Linked DNA regions of Coturnix japonica. The protein of the gene in region 1 purifies or fractionates together with the protein of each later gene. This does not show direct contact. Links are inferred from orthologs where the notes say so. Each region holds a gene or a part of one and is shown in the gene's direction. Other genes may lie near its edges.

The links. The genes of interacting proteins can lie anywhere in the genome.
Region 2: the proteins of PLEKHM1 (region 1) and VPS41 purify together in Homo sapiens (affinity purification with western blotting; 4 studies listed by BioGRID and IntAct, with this or other methods). This does not show direct contact. The link is inferred for Coturnix japonica from reciprocal best matches to the Homo sapiens genes PLEKHM1 and VPS41.

The regions. Positions count from the first base shown.
Region 1 is NC_029542.1:1,138,018-1,142,458, reverse strand, and holds the start of PLEKHM1 (pleckstrin homology domain-containing family M member 1), read left to right. Parts: upstream 1-1,496; 5' UTR 1,497-1,578; intron 1,579-4,441. Other genes in the region: leucine-rich repeat-containing protein 37A-like, read left to right, coding at 235-441. UniProt on the Homo sapiens protein: Acts as a multivalent adapter protein that regulates Rab7-dependent and HOPS complex-dependent fusion events in the endolysosomal system and couples autophagic and the endocytic trafficking pathways.
Region 2 is NC_029517.1:77,293,832-77,296,330, forward strand, and holds part of VPS41 (vacuolar protein sorting-associated protein 41 homolog), read left to right. Parts: intron 1-1,170; coding exon 1,171-1,270; intron 1,271-1,964; coding exon 1,965-2,009; intron 2,010-2,499. UniProt on the Homo sapiens protein: Plays a role in vesicle-mediated protein trafficking to lysosomal compartments including the endocytic membrane transport and autophagic pathways. Acts as a component of the HOPS endosomal tethering complex.

The DNA.
Region 1 (4,441 bases):
CCATAGCTGACCCATAGCTGACCCATAGCTGCCCCATAGCTGACCCATAGCTGCCCCATAGCTGACCCATAGCCGCCCCATAGCCGCCCCATAGCTGCCCCACAGCTGACCCATAGCTGACCCATAGCTGACCCATAGCTGACCCATAGCTGACCCATAGCTGACCCATAGCTGACCCATAGCTGCCCCATAGCCGCCCCACACTGAGCCGTCCCCATTCCCCGCTGCTCTCAGGGCTCCGATCGCAGTAAGGACGATCCCCAGTGGCTGCGGGATCTTTACCTGCCCCTGAATGAGCTGCAGAAGGATTCGATCCAGCAGCTGTACCGGGAACCGGGGGACGAGGAGGAGGAGGATGAAGAGCTGCTCAATGGGGCCGGGCCAAAACGGGACGGGACGGCGGCCACAGCCGACCCCAAAGGCAGCAAAGGGGCTCCGTGATCCCACAGCCCCGATGGATCCACCCCATAGAGCCCCGGAATGGAGGGAGGGGCCATGGGGATCAGTGGGGGGGGATGTGCTGAGTTATGGGGTGGATGGAGCCGCTGGGTTTGATATTAAAGGATATTGGTGTTCTATGGGGTGTGTGTGATATGGGGGGATCTGTAAGGGGGTCTATAGGGTGTGCTATAGGGTGTGCTATGGGGTGTTCTATAGGGTGTGCTATGGGGTGTGCTATGGGGTGTGCTATAATAATAATATAGGGTGTGTGTTCTATAGGGTGTTCTATAGGGTGTAGCTACTAATTGGGTGTGCTATGGGGTGTTCTATGGGGTGTTCTATGGGGTGTTCTATGGGGTGCTCTATAGGGTGTGCTATAGGGTGTTCTATGGGGTGGTCTATGGGGTGTGCTATGGGGTGGTCTTTGGGGTGGTCTATAGGGTGTGCAATAGGGTGTGCTATAGGGTGTTCTATAGGGTTTTCTATAGGGTGTTCTATGGGGTGTGCTATAGGGTGATCTGTAGGGTGTTCTATGGGGTGCTCTATGGGGTGCTCTATAAGGTGTTCTGTTTATGTTGGGTGGGTCTCTATGGGTGTCTAAGCGGTGTTTCTATGGGTCGCGTCTATGGGTGATTAAGTGGGTTGCTATGGGGTGATTGATTCTATGGGGTGATTCTATGGGGTGATTCTATGGGGTGATTCTATGGGGTGAGTCTATGGGGTGTGCTATGGGGTGGTCTATAGGGTGTTCTGTTCTATGGGGTGTGCTATAGGGTGTTCTATGGGGTGGTCTATGGGGTGGTTTAATAGTTGGGGTGTGGCTATGTGTGTTCTCACTTATATGGGATTTCTATGGGTGTTCTATAGGGTATTCTATAGGGTATTCTATCTTAGGGGTGGTCTATATGGTGCTCTCTATGGTGTCCATGTGTCCATACACACTCAGCTCTATTTACACCCATCTCTCACCCACGTGCCCTTTTCCCGCCCAGAGCGCGCCAATTCTCTCTCAAGTTCCCGGCCCACTCTATGTTGGGAGTGGCCTCTCTTAGCATCGCCCCCTTTGCGTGATGACGTCACGAGGAGGCGGGGCTTACAGCCGCTACTTCCGGGTTTCCCGGCCGGGTCGTGGAGGCGGTGAGAGGGGGTGGTGGGGATGGGTAATGGGTAATGTGGATTGGGCGATGTGGATGGGATGGTGCATGGGTTGGGAAATTGGGGGCGATGTGGGCTGGGGATATGTTGGGTTTGCTGATGGGGTCCGGTGGGTGCTGGGCCGCAGTGGGGCTGCTATAGGCCCTATGGACCCATTAGTCACTATGGGGCTGCTATAGGCTCCTGGAGGCATTCTAGTCTGGTTTCTATGGGGGCTGCTTCTGGGTCTTCCTTGGATTCCCTATAACCAGAGTTGACATGGTTACACTTGGTCCTGGTGTTGGGTGTAGGTATGTGCCCATAAGGGAGAACTCGTCCCATAACAGGGCAGGACTAGCCATAAGGGCGGACTCGGCCATAACAGGTCGGACTGCTGGGCCATTAACAGGGAGGATCGGCATAATCAGGGGAGGTGACGCTCCTGCAGCACTTTGACACCTTTTGCATCAGCTGCTGGAAGGGGCTGGGATCGGAGCTGCTGCCCCACAGCTGTGGGGTGTTGTGGGATCTGTGGGGCAGGCTGAGCTCTCCTCCATCCCATCCCATATCCCATCATATCCGATCATCCCATATTATCCCATCCCAGTGCCCATCATCCAATATGGCCTTGTGGTGCTGCGATACACATCGGGCGTCGGTTTCGGAGTACCTCCGAGTCCTTTCGGGAGTGCAGAGATCCCATAGCCGGTTTGCCTACATGGTGTTCCTGTTTTTTCACGAGTAGCCATATGCGACAGGAATGTCCAGTGGTGTTTTTTTTCTTTCCTTATAATTTTACATTCATATAAAGGCATACTTGCTGTTGAAACTGGCGAGCCGGTTTATCTCTAGCTGAAGGGCCTGGTTCATGAAATTACACCTCTACGGTGGTGGGGGCCGGGGGGCTTCAAAGAGCTGACGAGTCAGTGACGAGCCCCTTCGCATTTACGGAGGAGGTATTACAACGAAAGCGGTGTTAACAGTTCGCCTGCCAGTTAATGGAGGGGGGGTCACATATGGCGGTGCAAGAGTAAGGATATAGCTTATATCACTTATTAGAAGCGTCACAGAGGTTAAACTGAGTTGAGCAGAATTTAACACACGACAAACAACACAAAAGATACGCACTGGTTACAATCCGCCAGGGGGACCGAATTGTAATGTCGGCCAGAATCTACTCTCACGCGCTATATCAGACTATCTGCGAAATGGTCTGAATCCCCCAGTAAACTTTGTGCGAGTCAGCAATGGAAAAACTTCCATTGATTCCGGCTTTTACGCCACCAGGAGCTTCTTGGCTGGGCTGGAGTCCTAGATAAATAAACATCTATATGAGACTCTCGAACATTCTCCTTCTCTTCTCGAGGCCCACAGATCGCCTCAAGGCCTCCTGGGGATCAGGCATTTTATCAAAAGGCGAGGTCCACAGAATAAACACTGGTGATAAGGTGGGGCAGTGAATTATAACACACGTGTCCCTTCGCCTGGAAAGTTAAAGGGGAGCCTCGCTCGAAATGGAGGCATGGAATTTTGTCCCTCTCGGCCTCCAATAAGGGCACGCACCAGTGTCTCCATCTGCTGCAGGATAGGAAATGGAGGATGGGGAGCTTGACTGGTAACCAAGGAATCTACAGCACGCACTCCTCATGGGCTGGGCACACACTCTACGACTTTCTCCGGCACCTAGGGTAAGATTGGAATATAGGAAAAGGGGAAAAGAAACACACGAACGCTAAAGTCCTTTTATTGGTAGATAAAGCCGAAGGGTTTGTCTGTTGTCCTTTCTCAAATAGAAACAGCCTTCCTGCTCTTAAAAGAAATTATGAAGCTTCTAAAATGGTTGGGGCATTCTAAATTTTCCAACTGGCATTAACAGGCTTGTGGAATCGCTTTGCGCATCTCCTAAAAGAGAATAAAAACAACAAGGGAAACCAATACCAAGGTTAAGGGTCTAGGGAAGCAGAAGATGGAGCCATCGATTACAACCACTACAGCTACATGGAATGTTATGTAGAGGCAGTTGTGTATCTTTACAATTTCTTGCAATGTTTGCGATCGCAGTCAGCAGAAATAATCAGATGAGCTGTACGCTACAATGTGTGCGCTCCATTGGTTGGGTTGCTGGACTGAATAGTCCCTGAAGAAATCACTGGGGGCGCATGCGGGCACAGGCGAAGGCAAGTGAGGAGAGTGCCCTGGGGGCAGAAGCGGCTGATGGTGGCGTATGACGTCAGGGTGTTCGTGTCCAGGCCTCAGCCTCGCTGCGTACTCTGGGGAAGGGCCCCTACATTACAGATGAATGTGTTCGTGGCCATGTGCAGCTGAAGGCAAAAGCCCTTTCTTAATACCGCAGTGACGAGTGTTGTGGGGGACGCTTCTGAGACTTTTCAGGTGGTTGTGCCATTAGTTTTACAGAACTGGCCAGCGGAAGGTCGTGCTAATGATTGGAAAAGTTACCGAGCAAGGATCACCTGGTCATACATGGATCCAACATCACTCACCAGCCCAAGACCAGGGTCCCTCGACGAAGCGTGTGTGAAGACCATTGTGCAAATGCCGTTGCTGGCTGGGTGTGTGGAGGGGCAGCGCTGATGGCATAAGGCTTTCTCTAGGAGCCTGGAGGCAGCAGCAGCTCCAACAGAGCTGGAGAGCTGTCGCTAGCAGGGACAAGTGTCAGCTATTGCAGAGGAATGCGGGACAGATGCCAAAGAATGCGGACAGATCTATCACAAGTACACGGTTGGCTGAGAAGAGGGTCAGCAAAGACTCTTCTTAGAAACGAGCAAGCACGGAGTTTCCAAAGGAATAGTCGCAGACTGCTCCAGCTGCTGCAGATGGGAGGGACCTTTCCCTTGATCAAACTCAT
Region 2 (2,499 bases), on another chromosome or scaffold:
CAGACTTCAGAATCTTCCTAAACGGTATAAGATGTGAGCTCTCATGTAAGTGCTTTTCTGAATTGGGTTAAAACTGCAAGTGGTTATTGCCTTTTTTTGTTTTTCTTCCCTTCCTGAGAAACATTTTGATAATTTTCTGCTAGTCATTATTGAAGTTAATAGATTAATACCATAACAGAGCTGTAATAGCAATTTTAGTGTTTATGTATAGTAACGTTCATCAACAAAGTTATGATTACGTGGACAGTAAAGATAAAGTTAGAATTGTTTGCATTTTAACAGTGTTTATCAAGTGTGGTCTAACTTATTTTTTTTATTTCTAACTCCCAAAATCTAATTCTTCAGTGCCATAAATTTATAGATGAAATAGACCACAAGCTGCTTAGTTTGGCTTTGTAAACTCTTGAATATAGGCTGTCTTAAAAAGGAACCTGTAGTTTATTGATGTGGCATGTTTCTAGCGCATTTTCTATTTAACAGCAAATAAATCACCTTTCTCCAGTCAGCATTTTCAGTGTAACTAATTATCATTCAAACTATGGCCAGCTAACCAAATTGGCCTAAGTCGTATTGATATCCTGAGAAAAGCTTAGTGATTTCCAGCTCTACTGCTTGCATTTAAAAGTGCTTCCAAAAACACAGAATCAAAACATAGCTCTTTGTAACTGAAAAGTTGTTGTCAGTGTGACTTTACAAACTGATCTTGTATTTACATAGATAAGAGCAACCACCAGCTATATTGCCTTTATTTTGTCCAACAGTCCTTTTAAATTCTGAAAACTACAAGATGGTTTTTTTTCTGCTGAAAGTTAGGATTCAGTTGGAATAAAATCTTTTTTTAATTTTTTTCTGGAAGCGAACGGTATTTAACTGGAGCTCCTGTACAAGAGCATCTTCTTCACTGGAGGAACAAGAAAAAAATCAGTTCTGAACCTGGGGAAGTTCCCGTACTCTTCAGCAATAGTAAAATGTTTGACTGTGTGGGAATGTTTTCTCCTATTATGCCCAGCCTGTCTTTCATCAATCATGTGTAAACTCCTATCATTTTTCCCATCCAATGCATGTTGTTCTGCTTTACATTTCAGGTAGCAGGAGTGAGAACAAACCAAAAAATCAAGGAAAGTGTTACCTGTTTAACATTTTCTGTACTTTGTGTTCTTTGCATAACAGATCTTGCTGCGGGAAGGCTGCAAGAAGATTCTTGTTGCTGACTCTCTTTCTTTGCTAAAGAAAATGCATCGAACTCAAATGAAGGGTGTTCTGGTAGATGGTGGGTACAGGGGAAATGTGGTGACTCGAAGTCTTTTCTGTGGTTATAAACCTAAGCCATGTCACAGTCCATTTAGAAAGCTGCTGGAAAACCTGAGTATTACTTTTTCTTTTGTAGACTGTAGATCTTATTTGTAGAGACAAGATTCATCATGTAGCTTTGTGTTTGCTCAATATATTACATATTGCATCCTGCAATTTGTCTGTAAAGATGGAAAATGCTTTTTGGTGCCAAAACAGATAGTCAAGTATTCTGCAACAAGATAGTTTTTAAAAATGGTTGAAAATATTTTGTGAGGCTCTACTGACGTGCATGAGGAGTTCTGTGATTTGCACAGGTTAATACCAGGAGCTGATAGAAAGACAGAAGATCAGAGCTTCTGCTGGAAAAATACAGCAGAGAAGTCAGGAACCCATCTTATGCTTCCTTTTTTATTTGAGTTTGCCTTATGTGTCTACTGCTCTGATATTGGTCTAGCTCCTGCAGTTCTTCCTGCACCAAAGTCAGAGAATCTGTACATTTTTCCTGCTGTTAACAGAAATGCTGCTTTAGAGTTTCTCTCTAATTTCCCATGGTCTGTGGTGAGTATCTCAAGTAAATACTGTAGGATCCATTTCTGTAATTGCAATGTGTAAATGCCTGTTTTAGTTTTTACTTCAGTTTTTTTTTTTCTCTCTCTTTTTTTTTTTTCCAGAGGAAAATATCTGTGAATCATGCCTGTCTCCAATACTTCCCTCAGGTAGGATGCTTTTCTGGAAGAAAAAGAGGCTATTTTTTATTTTTAGAGGATCCACTGTTTGCTGCTATTCATAGAAACGTGTAATACTCTCCCTTGATAATTGCTGTATAAATTGTAGTCTCTTGTGCAAAGCTTGCTTATGAACTCTTATTTGGGAATGGAGTCTAATCTGAACCTTTTGATTGTAGTAAACCCAGACTTACTTTCTTCTTCTTTACTCATGTTTGATTATTTTATTTCCTGTATTGAGGTATGTGGAATGGAAAGCAACTTTAATTAGTCAACATGCATATCCTCAAAGATTGTCAGAATCATGAATCAAAGCAGATCCCATCAAATTTTGTTTAAATTTGTATTGCGATTTAGACTGAACTTTCAGGCTATAAGCTTCTATGTGATATGCTTTTTACAACACTTTAAGAACATTTCTGAAGTTAGTCTTGAAACTAGAAATTCAATATATCATTTTTGAAGATGTACATTCTGCTAA